2 linked regions of the Oreochromis niloticus genome follow. The protein of the gene in region 1 interacts with the protein of each later gene in a pairwise test. Links are inferred from orthologs where the notes say so. Each region holds a gene or a part of one and is shown in the gene's direction. Other genes may lie near its edges. The genes, in order: prkaa2 and ccnb1ip1.

Region 1 (10,494 bases):
TGCATGTCTATTAAGCGTCTGCTGTGGTTGACACATGAGTGTAACTAATGTCACACAGAGAGCATTGCAGACATTGATCATATGTGAGTCTATTTTCTTTCTGACCTTTCACCTAATGTTTAAACAGATCCCAATAAATCCCAGCCAAATATATTTCAAAGAACATGTTCATGGCTCTCACCTCTGAAAGACTTGTGCAGAATCCCTGAGAATATTTACCCTTGGATTAAGGTCAGCATCTTTGGATTGGAGCCTGTGTTTCAGTTTCTCTTTGATGGATTCACATGCTGCTTCAATATAGTTTTCTAACAGACACAGACTGTATAATCTATGCATATCTATATTCTTCTAATATTATTTTGTTCATTATAGATTTTTCCCTTATTATTCTGGGACAATTATGAAGACAGAAGACTGGCTCCGGTAGAGAAGGAACAGGGGGAAGGAATGGAGATAGATGTGGAAATGGACTAGGAGAAAAAAAAAAGAGTCAGGATTTCATTTCACAACCACACCCACCTCCGACCGACACTACCTTTCCGTTTCCCACCCTTTCCTGAGCTCCAATATACACACACACTCTATATGCCCCCTGGTTCACTTACTCCCAAAATTGCACCAGATGTCCCATCCAGAGTCTTTGGGCACAGAGGTACAGCCAGATGAAGAATTTGTGAAATTCTCGAAAATATTTGTAGAGCGGCTCAGGATTGAAGTGGCTGAGGCCTGGAGAGGTGGAGGTTAAACCTCTCTGACTTTAATGAGAGGCTGTGTGACTGACTGCTGTAATGTTATAGCAGCTGATGGGAACGCAGGAGTCGAATACAGAAGGATTAACGCTCCGGGGCCAGTTATGAAGCTGATTCCTCGAGGCCAAAAGGTTACGCTCTTCTTGGCTACCTGTCTGTGATTTGTGGAAAAGCAGACCACTGAACACCTGACTGTATCAGAGCTCCAAATTTTGCAATAAACACATAATTAAATGTTTTAAAACATTATATATTTTTTTGCCTCCTAGATCATAATAAGGAGATAGATCATGATCCTTTAAAAGAAGCATATATAGAGTCAATGAAGCCAGTCCCGGACAATCCATGTTTATGTTTTACAAAAAGACCACTCCATCCCAAACCAGTTCTGCAGAAGCAAACACATAATGTATAATCCCCTTTGCATTGTGTAAAACTTAATCATGGTTTAAGTGAGACTACTTTTGGATGCTTGGGTTCCAGAGGGCTCTAGTCTGTGTCTCGTTGCAGTGTTCTCACAATAAACATTTTTTTTTTTTCAAACAGCCAAGAGAAGACTATTGGGCAGTGAGTCGCCAAAAGGGAATACGAAATTCTGCGGTCGAGTTTGTGTATTTATAGTGAGTGTATACTGTTTGTGTGCACGCTCCTTATAGCGTTGCTAAATCAACTCGACTGCTCTGTAGGAGTGGAACCTGATCCAGAGTGAAATCAGCAGATGATGGTCGCGCTCAGCTGCCAAAACTGTATGCCGTAACCCCGGTCTTGGTAGTTGAGTGCTGGAGAGAATGTGAGTATGCTTTTTCAATGCCTTTCTAATCTTGCTGTGCTTGTGCATTATCATTTTTGTTTAGCAAAACCAACTGGGATGGGTTCTTCATTAAACATGTAAACATGTTTTCTTTTGTCCTTGTGTGCAGCTATAGATGGCCTCAGATGTCTTTTATGCAGACACTCATTATCTGCGCCTAAGGGTGTGTCAGTTGGGCACATTAACATCCGTTAGGAAGATGTAACTGCAGAGACTCTGCGTGTAGAGCCCAGCTGGCAGAATAGGAACTAATTAAAGGTAATGAGATATTTATCTATTTCCTAGTTTTAGTAGTGTACACTACTTTTTAGCCATAAACACGCTCAGAACAAAAGCCACCAACCATTAAGCATTCCGCTGAGCTCTTCGACAACACACCCGCATTCCTCCTTCCTCATTCAGGATGCCCTGATAACCCTCCCTTTCTACTGATCTCTTCTCCCTCTCTTTTAACCCCCTCCCCAGTCACCCCTCGCACCAACCCGCAACTCCCCCCAAACCACTGAAGTGGGCCAACCAATCATCACTGAGCAGCCAGATTGTGTTTAGCATAACAAAGGAGAATCTTTGTAACCATTTGTTACTGTGTTCTTACATACATTGTGTGAGTTTACAGGCATACATGCGTGTCTGTGAGTGTGTGTGGGTGTCCTAACAAGGCAATGGAGAACTGTCTGTAGAGCTTTAACCAATAAAGGAAGTTGGTTTGTGCAGGAAATTCAGTCCACATGTGATCAAAGCTCATCTACAGTTATATGAACGCAGATGAAACAGTGTATCTCTGTCTGGGGTTCTTTAATAAGAAAACTAGTATAAACCCAATGGAAAACTTTGTCAGCGAGCTTTGCTTCTACCTCACAGCACTTATGTGGAGTTAATGTGCACCATTTGTAACATACTGGATGATACAATCCAGTTCCTGTGTGGTAGTGTTGCATACTTCATTGGTACTTTACTAGTTCCTTTATATTGCACTATTGGTGTGTCTCCCACCTGCTCCTCTAAAGCCCGGTCAGCCACTGGTCCCACTTTTCGATCCCTCACTCAAATTGGAGAGGCATTCCCCTACCACAACACATGCTTAAGCAATTATTCCACGCATTCCCCTGGACAGAGAGGGAGAAAGAGAGCCAGAAAGAAAGAAAGAAAGTAATTTGAAGTGAAGAGATCAGGGGCAGCTGGCCAGGGATTGGCAAGATTCTGGGAGTGAATGTGTAGAAGTTAAGCAGAACTCCCATAATCCTTTTCCAAAAAAGAGAAAGGGGAGATGGGGGGAATGAAAATAGTGTGAAAAGAAGGAGGGGGGGGGGCACTGGCACTCAACACTAAAAGGACTGGGCTACAGTGACAACAGCCAAAAACAAACCAGCAAAGCAACACACACACACAGACACACATACACAAAGGCAGCACACTGAATCTGCATGGGATGCCCACTGAATAACCCACTGAATAACATGTTCATCTGATTTGGGGTCAGATGATCATGGTTATCAGAGAACAGACTGGGGGAAGTGGTGGGTGTTGTCTGGTTATTTTTAAGGGCAGGTTCGAACACTTGAAAATATTTATGCCCCGGGCATGTTGACAAGGAGCACTAGGACCAACTGATCAGTTACAGTGACACTCCATGGACTTTGAAATGATCAGTATATTATCTGGTGACAGTTCTCTCCGATGAGAAGTCAGTCAGCTGTCTTGATAACAACAACAGTTTTCTCTTTTTCTCAGTTTACAAACTGATTGTGATTCTGGGTTGAATTAAAGAAAATTAAAAGTGCGAACTCCTGAAATGTTGTTTGATTTTTTTATTTTATTTTTTTGTTCGCCACTTCCACTGCCCGGGGGTGTTGCGTTGGAACTGGATGATAAGGGGATGTTGCAGCTTAAGTTGTTTTGCAGTTACAGATAACGGGCAACTTTTAAAATGATAATACTCTTATTGGCAAACTTGAGAAAAGGCGGGCACTGTTTATCTATTCTAAAGAGGGCTTTTATTGTGAGTGCAATGTGCAGAAGTTTCTGTCTTCAGTTTTTTGTGCATGTACTCTACAACAGCTGATGTGAGATACGCAGTTTAAATGGTAACAGAGAGGAAAGCATCGTGTAAACGTATCTGTGAACTTACCAAGTAGAAGGCAGAAGACATCGAGCACTATTAGCACCTTCTTCTTACTGTTGTCAACACCATTGTTGTTATTTAACGTAGAGGTTCCTCCGTTCCTTGTCTCTTGAGCCATTGCTTTCTCATACATGTAATTTTGCATTTGATGAGTCCCCGTTTCAGTTCAAAATCCCACACTGCACGGTCTGTGAAGAAACTCTGTCAGGCTCTCAAGTCCTTGGAAGAAATGTCATGCAAAGCAACGGGAAACAAACTTCCCAACTCGCAGCTCTCTCGGAGTGTCTGATCTGTTTATGACTCGCTCTCTCGTATTTCACTTTTACAAAATAATTAAAAGTCAGATGAGTAGTCGGCTAAATGGAGAACGGACCCGCGGCACGAACTTAGTTTAAAAAAAATTTGCCTGCACTGGTACTGAATGGAAAGCCCGCTCCTCTTTATCTGTCTTGTTTCAAAGACTTGGAGTGAGACTTGCGTTGCGCATCGACAGCCGCTCTTGTTATATCAATCCTTCTTCTCCTCCTCCTCCCCCCGCTCTCTTAGTTCCTACAGCAGCCCTCCTCCTCTCGTCTCCATCCCTGCTTGAAAAACTTGGAAGAGTGGAGCCCAGCAGTGGACAGACGGAAAAACTACTCCTAGCGGTTACTCACGGTAACAGGCGCGAAACAACCGAAGCGCTTTTGAGTTGAGACTATTAAAAATCTTTGTTCTTGGACAGACAAAATAAAGAGAATATGTTCCAGTATATAGTGCTAGAGTTTTTTTTGTTGTTGTAATTTTCGACAAAGAATTTATTTTAAAAGATAAAAAAATATATAATATTGTAACAATTAAAGTTCAATTGTTAATTAAAAGATTGATATTTGTTTTTCATGTGCAAAATGTGTCGAAACTTTATATATATTTGTCCAGTACAGAGACAAAGTCGGGAAGTGTGTAATTCGTGATTTTAATCTTTTTTAACTTCAGGAAATTTTTGTTTCCAGACGATTTTTTATATGTTTAATTTAAAAAAAAACTTATAATATAACATAATGTAATATAATATGTTGGTGAGCGAACACTATTTGTTGTCCAATTTGAGAAGCTCGAGCCTTGTGTTATTTTGTGTATTTTCATCGTATTCCCGTTTCCTCTTTTTTCACATTGTTGTTTTGTCCTAGATTCCTTTCGATGTGGTTTTTGTCCGGGGAAATGGCTATATAAACAAACATTGCTTGCTTGTTGCGTATTGAACATACGCAGAACATAGCAGCAGAACGAAATCCGAAACTCATACCAGGTATTGATGAATCATGCGTATACTGCCATCTAGTGGTGAAATCCGAACAGCTCAACTTTGTCCTTTTTTCTTTCTTTCTTTCTTTTTTAAGTTTTCTAAAATTGTCATGGCTACCTATTTTCTTTAACCAGGTTATTAAAATCTAATACGTAATTTGTGAAACGACGATATGCACACACCAGCGTTAGATATGTAAATGTAAAGACTGGGTAGCGTTACTTTTCAGTCCCTTACTTGAATTAAGGCAATAATGTACGGGATCTTCCAGGGTCAGTTTTGTGCATAATATGCAAGTACTGGTCTTTTATTGCAGTCTGTAAGATTCTTGACAACAGAAATAATGACGCTTGTGTTACTGCACCAGAGTGCATTTATGAATAATGAAGAAAAAAAAATCAATTTACTTAAAACAACAGATACCCATACTAATAATCACTCACGAAATTTAAGAAATTAAATATATATACGATTTTATAAATATTGATAGTCTATATTTATTGCAGGACTGGTTTAATAACGGTCTATACGCAAACGTTACATACCTTACACACCCATGTAGCAGACAGGTGTTACTGTGTTTAGACCGTGAGGGTTGGTATTTGACTGGGCTACTAAACTCAACATAACACCCCGTCGGTCGCTCCGTGCAAGGTAGGTGGGAGAGCGCGCCTGGTTCTTGGAGGGATAATTCGCGTGCGTGCGCGCGTTTTCCGCCGTTGGTGATTCTTCACTGTGAAGTGCCCCGCCCCCTCCTCCCCGCCCCCGTGCGCTGCACAGGCCAGGCAGGCAGTGCTCCCACCTCCCCGAGCGATCCAAGCCGTCGGTAACGGAGAAGATGGCAGAGAGGCAACAACAGAAACACGAAGGCAGGGTAAAGATCGGCCATTACATCCTCGGCGACACGCTCGGAGTGGGGACATTCGGCAAAGTGAAGAGTTAAGTCCTGTTTCTGTGTCATGCCAGGCTTCATGTGTACGTTTGTGTCTTCAGTTGGAGTAGTTAATGTCAAGTAGTCGCTGTGCCCCCCTCCCCTCCCATCTCTTTAACGCTCCGCGTTCAACTTGCTGGTGGTCAGTGAAGCAGTTGGCGTAGCTGAGCGGTTTAACCACGGCAACAGACTGGATTTTAAACGTACTGTAGTCTGAGAATCCGACCGCTTCAAAGTCAAATTCTTTCACCGAAGCCCCCTTCAGTAGCTGCTGTTATCAGCTATGGGAGGTGATAAAACCTGGATGCACGGAGATGCACAGTCACACTCGCATTATTATGGTATAACGTTAAGTAATAAGGACTGTGCGGTGGTGGCTGTCCTTTGCCCTGTCTGGCGACAAAGGACGTCTGAAGCTCACCGTTTGACCCACCGTGGGAACCTAACGTTGAACTGACATTAATGTTTGCAAGCTAGTCCGATGTGTTATTCTCTGCTAGCCGGTGGTAGCTTGTTAAGTGCTTGTCAAGTCGGGCAAACCCTAGACAATCTTAAAGCTTCAAAAGGATGCATATAACAGATTATTATTAGGGTTGCCTTCGCTAGTTCTCTGACACTCAGCATGACCTTGTGAGCTTTAACTCCATGCTCACCCCGCCTGTTTCTTGTGTGTGCTGCTAAAGCATTTGAAACCATGGCTATTTCTGAACATCATTATTAAGGAAAATGATTTTGCTCACACTCCCAAACCACTAGGAGTGTGAAAATCTGTGTCAAGTCATGTGTGAATGAATACAAAATGACTGTATGTGTATATGTAATGCTTGCTCGTTTCAGGTTACTGCTTGTGTGTTAGTTGTGGAGCAGTTCATGCCCCAGTTCGTATCTGATTCTGAGTTTCGTGTGCAGTGTTTGGCAGCTGCAATAACAGCTTGGTTTCAGAGCCTCCAGCAGGCAGATAGCTCCAACACTATAAACAAACGCATGGAAAGAAAATAGGGGTTACAAAAGAGAGCAAAAGCTCAATATAACAAACACAGTTCATTCACTACTTCGTGCGAGCTTCCTACGCAACAGGACTCCAAATCAAAGTGTAACCCTTTTAATCCACACCAAGCTGCTTATGTAGTAGGTTATGTGATTTATTTATTTTTTATTAATTTTTTTAGCCTCTGTGGTCTGTCTCTTTCATGTCTGCATTCTGTTGTTTTTAGTTGGTGAGCATCAGTTGACAGGCCATAAAGTGGCTGTGAAGATCCTGAACAGACAGAAGATCCGTAGTCTCGATGTTGTGGGGAAGATCAAACGAGAGATCCAGAATCTTAAGCTGTTCAGACACCCACACATCATCAAGCTGTAAGTGGAGAAAGACGACACATCCGTCTGTCAGATTGAAGACTCTCAGTGAAGACTGACAGGCTTTGCAGAGAGATAACTGGGCTCTCTTTTATTATTGCTTGTTGTAACGTGGGTTCTTTGCTGTGTGTTGTGGCATGCTTTGCTTGTTCACGTGTTTTCTAGAGCTGTACTCTACTGAGCATGCCCACAAGGCTCACAGGAGGTAAAACACACAAACATACCAATGCACGCACACAAGCTTTGAGCTAGATAAAGAAATGTGCTCTGGCTAGGACAAATCTCCAGTTAAGATGGTGGATATTGTCTAAATCCCTCTCTCCTCATGGGTCTTTCCGTGTCTTTGTTGTCCTTCTTTCTCTTTCCTTCTATCTCCCTGGCCTCTTTCACCTTGTTAGTCCATGTCTGTCCGTCCCTCTCAACATTGTTTGTGATATTTTTAGTCTAGGGTTAGGGTTAGTCCACTGTAAAACTCTAAGCAATGGCAGATATGCGAGTTGTCAGGTCATAAGCTGGAGTGCTGTGGAAGTCAGTGTCAGAGACATATACAATAATAAACACATGCACACTGTGTACACTTCTTGTACAGACATGGAAGCAGTTTAACATACCGACCATGACTATAAAAGCTGCCACACTCTCAACTGTTAGAAGAAAAGAAGTTATTTGTCTTAATGTTTCTCCTCCCATAGTCCCTGTGGTGTTAGGCTTCACCCAGCTTGACAGGATTGAAATAGATTGTGATAAAGTTTATATTCTACCACCGGCAACCATTCATGAAATTGTGCCTGCAATTTAACATACCTGACCTTTATGAAAGCAACCCAATATCACAGCCTTGCCGTGCCTTTGTTTCTGTGTGCTAATGCTGTGTATTGTTTATGTAGACGATATAGGTTTAGACATTCGGGTTCACTCATCTGTGTCCTTGTTTTGAAAGAAAAGCACATTTGTTCTTATTTCCAGTAAATTAATCAGAAATGTCATGAATGACAAATATGACTGACTGATGATTTTTAATAGCAACAATCACTCCTGTGTCCTGTTGCACAAGTTACAGAAATGATCATGAGAAGAAACCTCTCCAAATATGATAGCACATCTGATAACTGCTGTGTTGATTAAAGAAACAATTCATTTGGTTAGCTGAGTTACTGGAACATCAACTCTTGCCTGCTCGAGAATTAAAAGTGACTTTTATTTTGAAAGCCATCTTAATAGGGAAATGAAAGCTATTCCTTGTGGGAAATTGTGAAAACTGAAGATGCCATAGAAAGGTGTGTCCTACCCCCTACATAAAACCACAAAAACCTGAACCTGAATAGAAAGAGGAATGAGAGGCCTGCAACACAGAGCAAGGAAACAAATGCATCAGACACTCTATTTTCAGAAACAGACACCTCATGGGTCCTAAACTGGCAGCTTCGCTAATTGGTAACCACAAAATACTATTTCTGGGATCAGCAGTGAAGAAGCAGCTCCCGGGGCCTCCCTTGTAGGCAGAGTTGCAAAGAAAAAGCCATATATCCTTCTGCTAATGTCTTTTGCCCATCATAATCTTTTCCTGATATACTCAAAAAACTGGACAGAGGTGGCTATACGCCTCTCTAGCGATTCAATTAAAAACATGTAATTTTTAATTAATGATTTCATTACTGACTTTGTCAGGAAAAAGAGTTTTAATTATTTTAATGTTATTTCCATTAAAAATTAATCTACCTAAAAAAGGGACATGTCTAAGTGATCACACTTTTAATTTTTGAGAATAAAAGGTGAAAATAGAAGATAGAAGGTGAAATCAACTAATGAATGTATTAAAAGTTCATTGAAATACAACAGTTTGGGGTTTTTTGTTGTTGTTGTCAGGTACCAGGTCATAAGCACACCGACAGATTTTTTCATGGTCATGGAGTATGTGTCGGGAGGCGAGCTGTTTGATTACATCTGCAAGAATGGACGGGTAAGATGACATTCTTCTATTATCTTGCTGGTAGATTTCAGCCTGGCTGAGTACAGTGGTCAATGAATCATCCGAAATTCTTTTATTATCCAGTGGCATGGTTAGCTGACTAAACAGAAGCCTGACTGGTTAAACAGTTCTGACAGTTTAAAAGCAATTGTTGCATATATTTGATAAACATATCAAGCAAAAATCTGATGATGGTTTGTTTCCTGGGCTTGTGCAGTAATCCAGGTAGACTTGCTCTTAAAAATAGCTGAGTGTATTTATACTTAACTTTGTGTTGACTGTAGTTTTTCACATTATTTAAATCCACATCCTTCACATTATATATATTATAAACTATATGGTCTTGCTTTAGCTTTAAATATAAGCTTCTTACTACTGTCATTTTGAGTAGGTATCTATATTTTAATTAACTTAAAATGCACATTTAAACTATGTTCCTAAACATGTGCTTCTGTTTTCAAGTGCGACTTACAACGTCTCTCCTTGTTTTGTCATGTATACATTACATCATATTACATTATAATAGTGGATGCTCGTGTTAAACATGGGCAAACTTTCAAAAACTTAGATGAAGTCAGTTTATGTGAAAGTAATTCCTATGAGCCAAAGTTTCATGCTTTAGATTTGTCTAAACATTTAATTTCAGGCAGTTTTTTCTGCCCTTAGCTCTGTGTGGTGTCAATGAAAGCAAATATCTCTAGAGCACAAAGCTCTACCTGTGAGCATAAAAAACATTTCTTAGATTTTCTGTTCACGAGGGGCAACCAATCAGAAGAAAGTTGGTTTAAAATGAGCGTAAAGATGGCTCAGACATCATATTAACTGATAGGTTCCACAGGCCTAGTATGACATAAATAAGGTTTATTTTGAACTGTGAGTCACGAAAAGCTGCCCTAGGAAAGTCTAGTAAAGCCATTCATAGTTTTCTATTATGTTTATAAACTTCACCTTTTGAAATTTAAGTAGTGTGACTCTTAATGGACTGCATGGTTATGCATTAGTCCCACACAGCGCCTACACACACCTTTGCAGAACGTTGCATGTCTTACCTGTTTATGTCGCCAGGGTCAGAAACATCCACAATATGCACTACTCCTACTCTTGTACATGTTTGTGCTATTGTTGGTCCTTTAGTCCTGCTTCTGCCAAGGAGAGCGAGCCAAAGTCACTGATTATAGTCAAGTGAAACTAGTGTTAAAAGCAATGAAACTGTCCACTGTCCACTGTTTTTTAATCTTTTGTTCTTTTTTGTGCTTCTCCCCCTCTCTCTCTTC
Region 2 (10,446 bases), on another chromosome or scaffold:
GTAGCGCCCGAACCCTGGCTTGTCTCTGATCCTGCAGCATTAGCACTAGGACTCAGTCCAAGAGCAGCCAACATTTCCCTGCGGTAGGCACTGGAGGTGGTGGTCAGGTCGTGGCCATGGGTGTCTCCGTTGGCTTCAGTAGTGGTGTGTGAGGAGGTGGAGGGCGAAGAGGCAGAAGAAGAGGAGGAGACACCTGTGTGAGGCTGCTTTTCAAGCTTCTGTACCAGCCGCTGCAACTTGGATGTGTCAGAGGTAGAGGTAGTGGGAGAGGATGAGGAGGGGGAGGAGGCAGATGGTTTGGGGAAAGGTGGGAAAGGGAAGGGTAGCTGATGAGGCGAAGTGAGGTGGGAGGCGGATGGGTGTCCCGGTGGCCGGAGAAGCGCGAGGTGGTGAGGGGAAGTACCTCCAGGGAAGAGAATCTTAGGCAGGTGAGCCAGCTGGGAGTACGGCGAGGCTGAATGGAGGCTCGAGTGAGGAGGAGTGTTTTCGTCAAAGCGCTGCTGCTTTGCTCCTTTAAACTGGCTGCCCACAGAGGAGGAAGATGACGAAGAGGAAGATGGGAGCACACTGCTGGATGCGCTTGCAGCAGCTGCCGCTGAAGCTCTGTTCAGCTGTAGCAGCGAATGGGCTGTGGACAGCAGAGCCATGTCCACAGAGGGGGGCAGAGGTAGGGAGGAAGGCGAGGCCCGAGCCGAGCCACTGGACAGGAATCCTAAAGCCATGCTCTCTGTCATGCCGGGAACGCTTCCTTTCACTCCGTTAAATGTTTCATCATCATCCGCTCGCCGTTTGCGCCTCCTCTGGATGCTACCTGTGGCCGATCCGCCCTGCGTCTGCTCTGATAGCGCTGGGGGCAGCAGGGAGAGCGACAGCTCTGGGTTCTGCTCTCTGTGTCGCAGGAAATGAGCTTTAAGGTTCCCCCTGGTTGTGAAACGGCTCAGGCAGACTGGACACTGGTAGGGCCTTTCCCCTGTATGGGACCTCAGGTGGATCTGCAGGGACGAGTCGCTGCTCAGCACCTTCCCACAAAAGCGGCAGATGTGCTGAGGGCGTCCTGATGAGGAGGCAGAGGTAAGAGAGGAGCTGGACTGGAGGTCCTGGGGATGGCTGGTGGGAGGAAGTGAAGGAGTTGGGAAGCTGACACCATTACTGTGAGCGAATGAAGAGGTGTTAGATGATTTTTCATGGAGGTAGCGCGGTGGCAGGCCCAGCGAAAGGGACAAGGGGTGTAGGGAGGCAACAGAGGAGCTGATAGTGGATGAAATAGATGAGGAAGAAGATGATAATGAGGATGAGGTAGAGGAAGATGCAGCTCTGCTGCTGTTGTTGTGTGAAGCGCCTGACTTGGAGACAGCCGGTTGGGGGAAGAGAGCTGATGGAAGGCCAGTCAAAAGTGACGAGGCTGTGGTGACTGGAGTGGCAGTGGAAGGATGTGTTGGGGATGAAGATGCCGCTCCATTAGGTTTCTGGTTGCTTTCCGTTCCACTGGCTTGTGCATTGTTGTCCTGGCCAAAGACGGCTCCTCCGAGCCTCAGAACATGCCTGCAGATCTCTTCTGTTATCTGCATCTGGTGGATTTGGCGCTGCTGTAAAACCCTCAGCTCCTCTAAGAGCACCGCCAGCGTGGGAGGGACCTGGATCTGTCCCTGCTCCCCTGGTGAGCTGGTAGCCTGCTGTTGACCTGGACTTGAGCTTTCACGGTGAGGTGGCACACACTGGGAAGAGGAGGAGGAAGAGGAGGTGGAGGTAGTGGTGGTGGCTGAACTTCCAGTCTGCGGGGAGGTCATGGTGGAGTGAGAGTTCCCTTGGCTGTGGGAACCAGAGGTCTGACCCAGGGGGGGAGGCGAGTGAGTCTGGGAAGACAGCGACGGGTGAGGGAAGTCCGGGGAGAGGGAGGAGTGGGTGTTGGGAAGAGATGTTGTGAAGGGGGCGATGTGGCTGGGCCAGTGGGAGGAGGCGAGCTCTCGCTGGGTAAGGAGGGCGCGTGGAGCCCTCCAGGGGATGGGCGAGGGGCCAGAGGCGGCTGGCAATCTTGAAGAGATGTGGGGGATGAGGAGGAGGAGGATCCTGATGAGGTCACTTCTGAGCCGAGAGATGTGGATGGTGACTTTAAGCCCAGATGGTCATCTGAGGAAGAAAAAGAAGAATGATGAGGGTTGTTTTTTTTTTTTTTAAACCTGCATGTTTATTTGACAAAGCTCCGATATCAACCGAAATATCCAGCTTTGTGAATTTATCTGAACTCTGTTTGTTCCTTTGCCTCCAGTTATTGTTTATGAATTTAGTTTTAAAAAAATTTGTCTACATACCAAAAGATACAGTTACAACATCAAAAGAAATTCCTGCTGGGAAGTGGCCTTGAACATGCAAATAAACAAGAAACTCAACCGTCCACGAGTCTTTGTGATATCTTGTCTCAATCTGTGCTCTCCGGAGTAAAACTCCTCAAACATCTTGTGCACACACATACAAAAAAAAAAGCTCACAGACCACCTTGCTGCTATAGCAACACATTTTAGAGGACAATGGGCATCACCAAGACAACCCATAGCCCCTCTTAACCCACTCCCTACAGCGGTTACGTCTTTCATCTCCCTATTCACCCTCCCCCGCCTTACGTCACAGTGGAGGTCAAGGGTCAGGCCAAGCTAAGGGTTCTGGGCACTGTCCACACACTCTGATTGGTCAACTAATCTGACCTCTGGCGCTCAGGGGTCAAATTCTTTCAGAAATCTTGAGCACGGAGTGAGAAAGAGTAAAAAAGAAAAAGAAATGAGGGGGAGGGTAACAACAATGGAGAGACAAACTAACTACTCCCTCCTGGAGAGACAGTGATGGAATGAAAGACTGTACCTCAAGCGAAACTCCTTCCCTACAAACCTGCAAGCAGATAAGCCTCAAACTAAAACTTCCACTATTAATTGTCAGAGTTTGCCCCAGGGGAGCTGGTGCATGCATCAGAAGCTATATCCCACTAATGATGTCACAAAAACCTCCATATTCTCTGAAATGTTTTCAACCCCGCCCCCCCGTGTTAGGAGTATACAGTCAATAGGGCTAAAGGGTGAGAAAGAAGGAGCAAAGAAAGGGGAGGGGGGGGTGCTGTATTAAGAAAGGTGGAAAAATGAGGGGGAGAGGGGCACATAAGGAAGAAAAGCGTGGATGAAGAGCAAAAGAAGATCAGAATAGAAAGGGCGGAAGATTAATCTTTACCAAAAAAAACCACTGCCCCCCACCCCCACCCTATTGCACCTTATTGTGAAGAAGTAAGAGAGTTCTCCATACTAATCAAAGCCCTCCAGCAGTCAGTGCTGAGCAGCCTGTTGGTCTCCGAGAGGATGAACAGCACACGAAAACGGCCACAGATGTATGTTAGTTAATCCTACTCACAAGAGCAAGTTTTTTGGCCCCACCAAAGTGCCCAAGGTCTCATTTATAAGTGGGGTCCATTGCACTAAGCTAGTAAGCAGAACTGTGAGGTGGCACTTTTTTTCAGTCAGTTAAATCAGGTGCATTTGTCGGAATGCAAATGCAAACAGGAACTTGCAAAAGTTAGAGAAAAGGAATCAAAGAAAACCCGCTTGTGTCTTAAAATCTAACTTTTGCGTTGGTAAATGTATTTAAAGATTTAAGTTCTTTTAGTGAATTTCACAAGCAGCTTGTAGCCTGTGAGCGATGTTGTTTATATCAATCTTATGCAGCTTTGATCTAACAAAAAGAAAGAAAGAAAGAAAGAAAGAAAGAAAGAAAGAAAGAAAGAAAGAAAGAAAGAAACACAAACGTCCAAAAATAAAAAGCGCACGAACACTCGTAAACATGTTTTCTCACCGTGCGACTGCAGCCTCGGGCCCCCTGGATCCGCGTTAACGAGATGCTGGGGTCTCTTCTGTTTCCGGCGTGACATGATTCACGGCGAGTCAGACGGAGAGGGGGGCATCCGTCGGTTCAATGGCACAAGGCACGTTTTTTTTCTTGCGCACTTGGACGAGCTTCCGAAAGCATCCAAATTTAAGATGTGTTGCAAGTCCTTGGCTTTAAAAAAGAAAGAAGAAGAAGAAGAAGAAAGGGGGAGTTTTGAAAGAGCGGGTCTTTCATGGAACAAAGTTCCAAAAAGAAAAAGTGATGTTTGGAAATCCGCCGGGCTGCACCGTGTCACATGAAGCTTGCCGTGTGTGTGGCTGTTTTCTAAAGTCTCTTCTACCCCCCAAAAAAACTTGTCCAATTTGCGCCCCTCCTCTCCCACTGCTGCCCCACTGCATGCACATACAGGGAGCGCACACACAGTCACACATACACACCATATACACACACGCACACAGAACCACTCCTTGTTCTATGATATTTGCATTTGAATGGCGTGCAACACACAGCCTCCCCGGTTCTCTTTTTCTCTCTATCTCGCCCCCCCTCAGCTTTATTTTTCTTAACACTCTCACGCTGCAGCCATAAACTTTCAATAAAAAACCGACAATGGCGTCAAAGCCCGTTGGATGTCTAAAAAACAAATTAAAACGGGCGTAAGATGTGGCCTTTTTGTTCGAGATAAATGTTTTAATCATTGCAGCAAGAGAGAGAGAGTGCGAGAGAGAGAGAGAGAGAGAGAGAGAGACGATGATGGCTCTGATTAAGATGCAGTAACACGCGTAAAACTAATTCAACAGGTAACTTAGGAATCAGGTGCCATGCCTCGGTCCTCCCGTGCGCTCTGCACCTATACTTTGATCCTCGTCAGAATAATAAAGTCAAGCTGGCAGGTGGTTTCCGTCAGCGTGAGTCAAAAATCTGCCTTCCCAGCATTGAGCTGAGAAGTGTAGATAGGCGAGATGTAGCCTTTGATTTCCTCGGGGCCAATTATCAACAACAGTGCAGCGAGCGGCTAATGTTTGCAAGTGGGGCCACACATCCATTCCACATGCATGCATGTAATTCGTGTGTGTTATCACCGAGCGCATAATACCCACCCCCAGCACCATCACCACCACCCAAAAAAAGCATCTTACACTGGAGCTCTATTTAAAAGGCAGAGAATAGATGGGAATCTTTGACAATGGCGTGCTGGACACAGTTGAGTGAGCATCTCCCCTCTCTCACTATGAACCCCCGGACCCGCTGCTGCACAACACAATGCCCCTCTTTCACCCCCTGCCTTTACTCCTGTACCACGTGGAGAAATGGATAAAAGCAGGAGAGGGGGAGAAAAAAAAGTGGTGGCGGAGGAGGAAGGGGGCCATATTTAAGTAGGTGTCTCACATAAAGCATATAGACTGTCCGCTCAGAGGCTGTGTAGGGAAAATGGGCAGTATTTGATTTTGAGGAAATGCCTGCCATTCAGAGTTTAACAGTTTAAGCTCACATTGATGAACTTTAGTCAAGCTTTTTCACGTCACTTTGAAATCCGGCACTATTTCGAAAAGAAAGAAAAAGAAAGAAAGAAAGAAAAAAAGTTAGGACACTGTAAAATGTAAAACCATTATTATCATTATCATTATTATTATTGTTATTATTATTATCATTATTATTATTATTGTTGTTGTTGTTGTTATTATTATGCTGAAACAAGCATGGTCCTTCCTGAAATCCAGGATACCAACAGATGGCACATAATATATCATCTCTGGCATTAATGGTTCCCTCACTGATATCCAGATCACATTATCATTATCATTGTTGTTGTTTTTTTATTTATGTCCCTTTTATAAGGAAGCCTTGAAGCAGAAATACTTGTGCCAGTAAAAGCAGCTACAAAAAAAAAAACAAAAAAAAAAACATGAATTCAAAAAGGCACTATATATGTTTTTGCCAATATATGCGCTATGTGGCTTCATAGTGTTAGACAGTGAAGTATAGTAACTGAAATGTTATATTTATTTCCATTACTGCTTTATTACATAGAGACACCTGCAAGATGGTATAATACATATTGTTTTATGTGTGTGGAATCTTATGCCTGACAGGTGTGCTCACCTGCCTCAGAAAGAAGCGTTTTTGTACAGTTTTACAGAGAATGGCAGGAATGAGGTAGGAAGTGTTCTTTACGGCAGGCGGATTGAGCAAGTCTGAGAGAGAATGAGTTCTGCTGGCTCAGTACTGTGGAGTGGAGTAGGCGAGATGGGTTTGCCACTATGGAGAGCAGTTTGTTCAGTGACCACTTGTTGCCAACGATGGTTCCTGCCTTCTGAATCAGTTTGTATATCCTGCTGCCATCTCTGGGATTGATGCTGCCTTCCAAGCACACAACAGCAAAGTAGATGGCACTTCCAACATTCTTGCTGCACACAATCTGAAAAAGTAGAGTGGGGTCATCCTCTTCTTCTACAAATTCAGAATTGAACTTACTGTAGCTTAGTGTGGTAGCTACCAATGGTAATGTAGGCCTAATTTTTATTTATTTGTTTGTTTATTTTTCCACACCACAGTTTGTAGGGCTTCACTGGATTTATATTATAAAAATAATAATAATAAAATATAACACGAATCCTGCTTGAGATTTACATTAAAAGTTTGGCCCTAACTTTGTGAGTTATTCTAAAGTTCTTAAGTTGTAGTGTAAAGATTTTGCCATCGTGATTGGTAGAGCTTGAACTGTATCAGCCAATCAGATTTCAACAGTGATGTCACTTGCCGGGGTCATCTTCAGAGTAACGGTAGGCTTTGATCTTTGAAACTAGCCATTTTTACCAGTGTTTTAGGGTTGTGTTAAGGTACGTGTGTATAATGTGAAAAGTATAGATTTTTTATTAATCTGCTAAAGGAAAAAGGGTTGACATGACACTTTAACGAGCTTGTTATTAGCAAGTGCAGAGAGCTTCAGGCTTTTACTAGCTAACCTTCTAGTGCTAGCATCTAATGTCGATAATGCTGCTCGGTTTTGGGTAGCAGAGCTTTTACGTTTTATACAACAAAACTGTATTTTAACAGCTTTCGTTTTTCATAAATATATATTATAAGCCACTAGAAATTAGATAGCAAATGGTTTCACAAATAATAACCTTTGCTTTATTCCACTGAACTGATGTAAAAAGTACATTTATCCAGCGTGGGATCTATAGAGTTATCTTAGCCCCCATACAGTTACTGTAGCTTAGCTTAGCTGAACCGTTTTTTGCGTACCAAAAGCAAAAAACTTGATAAAAACAATTTGTGGGAATATGTGAACATAACACTTTAAACATGTAATAAATGAGCTGCTATAAAGTACCAAAATGTTGTAGGTTAAGGCCAGCTGCAGCTGTATTACTAAAAACCATTGTCCACCTTGTTTTTAATACAAAGGTTTAGGATTTAGGTAATATGTAGACCTCTAAAATAATGTCTGATTGTGATTAAAGTAGTTCAAACAAAGACCAAATTACTCCTGCATTGCATTGGGCCTGGTGTTACAAAATACATTTTTAAATATAAAACAATATAAAAATAAATACGGAAATTTGATTGTTAATCTTTGCACATCTTGTTTTTGCTTTGTAGTTTTTTTCTCTGAATGACTGTTCACTGTCCTTTACAAAGGCATGTCTATCTGCGATGACACCCTCCTGTGTAATTTCCCAAAGTGTCGCGCTAAGCTGAGCGCCTTCGCTTGGGTCACAGCGTGCTCACATGTTTTCTGCGATCAGCACGGATCTGAGAAGTTCAGCCGTTCTCCCGTCATCTGCCCTGCGTGCTCGTCTGCACTGTCTGGAAAGCTGGACGTTGTGAGGATGGAGCTGTCACCCTCTGAGGAGTATAAAGCCATGGTGCTGACAGGTCTGCGACCAGACATAGTGCTGGACATCAGTTCCCGTGCTCTGGCCTTCTGGAGCTATCAGGTCAAGTATCTCCATGTGAACAATCAATACAAAATCAGACAAATGTGAGAGAAGCTCCCACATCATCCCAGAAAAATAACATTTTTTATTCGTAAACTAGCATTAGCATATGTAATGATGTCCTACCCATCTGATCAAAACAAGTTACAGAATGTAAGTGGTCTCTTTTTATCTATGTTTGAAACCAGGATAATTTTCTATCTGTGGTTCGTCCCCTTTTTCTAATATAATTATTTAACTCTTGATACATGTTAAATTTGAGATTCTGTTTATTTAAAGAATTAAAATGATGAAAAAGGTGAGTTGGTAAACAATCAGCTGATTCTGAGGTGCTCAGCTGGCCGTTTCCTTCCTCGTATATAAACCCTGATGGTCCATTTATGTCAGTCAGATCTTGTGTAGCGTGTAAGTCTTGGTGTGTGCAGGTGCATCAAGAGCGTATCTATCAAGAGTACAGTCTGTCACGGGCCGAATCACAGCTGAAGCAGATGGAGAAGTTCCTGACTCAGCAGAACCAGAGCAGAGAAATGGAGCTTACTGCCTTGAAAGGAGAAATCGCCTCCCTGAAGAAAGTAAATGACACAACTCTCACCACCACACAAGACATTAATGCACTAAACTTGTAACCTGGTGTAAAATAGCTTCAAAGGCTAAGATGTAAAATAACAGGGAGCACGGCCAGTGGTCGTCTTAACTGTGAATCTTGAAGACATACATAGAGTAAAACAAGATTTCTCTGTATCCTGATGGCCAGATGATGGACGAGTACAAGAGGAATTACAGCGAGATGTCTGAGAAGCTGATGCAGAGAAACCGGCAGTACCAGAAACTACAGGGGCTGTACGACTCTCTGAGGATGCGTAGCATGGTGGTGGGTGCTGGAGGAAGACATACAGAGCAACAAATGGGACATCAAGACTACAACGCTGATAATAATGCCGGTAATATCAGCACATTGTAGTTCATTTGTCGTTTTTAAAGGTGCATGGTTGGACAGAGATGAAGGCTTGGCAACTAGTTTAGACAATGGACAAACACATGACTAGTTATTTTCACTTTTAAAGGTCAAACCATAATATTGTTTCCAAATATGAACAGCAGCATTGATGCTTAATCACAAATGACAGAATTTTAGCCCCCCTATCAGTATTTACCAAGTGCAGGGAATTTTTAACACAGCTTTTCCAACCATGCTAGTTTTATTAAGTCTCACACACATGTCCTGAGCTGTCCCAGCCCATTCTTCTTTGGCACATCTCAAAAACCTCTCCAGATTTGCTGGTCTTCTGGCATGAACCTTGGTCTTATGCTTTGTGCAGGCAAGTCAGTGACGTTCACTTTGGTTATCTGGGGGTCGTCCTTGACCAGGAGCAAACTATGTTTTAGGTCGTTGTCGTGTTGTAAGACAAATTGACGATACAGATCCAGTTTTGCTGCTGATTGCTTGAGGTTTTCTTTCAAAGTCTTCATGTGTCCTTTCTTCATGATTCCTACCACATTGATGAGATTCCCAGTTCCGGATGTACTAAAGCATCCATAAAGCATAATACTTCCTCCACCATGTTTCACTGTGTAGACCATGTTCTTTGGCTTAAACGCCTCTTCCTGCTTTCTCCAAACATAAGCAGCATCTCTGTGGCCAAAGGATGCGCCTCCAGTAGCAATAATTTTTCTCCAGGTTGTCCTTACTTACTTCATTTTGGCTTGAAGGTGTCTCTTCTGCAGAAATTCAGTTTTTCTCGGTCTGCAACCTTGCAGTCCATTCCTGTGCAGGCACTAAACTAAATTTCCAGACTTAGCAAAGTCATTCCCTTGTGTCTTTAGAGTTGTTCTGAGGTCTTTAGTCACATCTCGTACCAGTTTTCTTTTCAGAGACTTATATTAAACATTTTGCTTCCTATCTCTGCCAGGCTTGCTTTGTGTGGCTCTCTTTGAATTTCTTGATGTGTTTCTCACTCTGCTTCGGAAACACTGCAATAGCTTTGTTAAATTGTGTTAAACTGTGTGTAAATTGGAAGATAACCCTCAGTTTTAACTTGATTTTACAAACTTTGAACATAACAAGTTAAAACACATAATTGCACAGTAGTGGTCCGTGCAATGGCTCAATAAAAAGGTCAGTTTTTCACGGGGCTAATAATATATGATACAATAAACAACTTCTGTTAATAATAATGATATAATAATATATAATATATGCTTTCTAAAAGTGTTACCTAACAGCATTTACTAATAATGCCTAAATTTTAAAGGCATTATTAGTAAATCTTGTTAGGTAAGTAGTAGTAAGTAGTAAGTTTTTGTTATTGACTGAGTACACAAACAATGTGAAGATGTCATTATGGCCTCTATTACCTGCACTTAAAGTTTGGCAGACAAACTACTAAAATCCATAGTAATATATCGCTTATGTTCAGAAAAGAGAGATAAATAAAGACTTTGTGCTTTCATAAAATCAGCTTTCACATTGTGCTCACGTTGATGAATGAGAACAGGAAGGAATCGGGGTAAAAAAATAATGCTTAATGGCAACGAAGGAAGACAGGGCTTTTATCAAAAAGACTTTGTCATCAGGAAAGAACAGCAGGAGTAATGAGCTGAATGTCTGTGTAAGGGAATTTTTTAGTGAGAATAACAATGA

What was found.
Region 2: the proteins of prkaa2 (region 1) and ccnb1ip1 interact in binary tests that used the Homo sapiens proteins (3 or more experiments, as listed by UniProt). The two-hybrid records come from large-scale screens. The link is inferred for Oreochromis niloticus from reciprocal best matches to the Homo sapiens genes PRKAA2 and CCNB1IP1.

Annotation. Positions count from the first base shown.
Region 1 is NC_031986.2:38,374,778-38,385,271, forward strand, and holds the start of prkaa2 (5'-AMP-activated protein kinase catalytic subunit alpha-2), read left to right. Parts: upstream 1-5,728; 5' UTR 5,729-5,802; coding exon 5,803-5,902; intron 5,903-7,109; coding exon 7,110-7,251; intron 7,252-9,117; coding exon 9,118-9,211; intron 9,212-10,494. Other genes in the region: plpp3 (phospholipid phosphatase 3), read right to left, coding at 3,689-3,827. UniProt on the Homo sapiens protein: Catalytic subunit of AMP-activated protein kinase (AMPK), an energy sensor protein kinase that plays a key role in regulating cellular energy metabolism.
Region 2 is NC_031967.2:19,750,948-19,761,393, reverse strand, and holds the start of ccnb1ip1 (E3 ubiquitin-protein ligase CCNB1IP1), read left to right. Parts: upstream 1-6,496; 5' UTR 6,497-6,644; exon of another isoform or gene 6,645-6,701; intron 6,702-7,506; 5' UTR 7,507-7,508; coding exon 7,509-7,805; intron 7,806-8,230; coding exon 8,231-8,377; intron 8,378-8,559; coding exon 8,560-8,746; intron 8,747-10,446. Other genes in the region: si:ch211-212k18.5 (sal-like protein 4), read right to left, coding at 1-1,787. UniProt on the Homo sapiens protein: Ubiquitin E3 ligase that acts as a limiting factor for crossing-over during meiosis: required during zygonema to limit the colocalization of RNF212 with MutS-gamma-associated recombination sites and thereby establish early differentiation of crossover and non-crossover sites.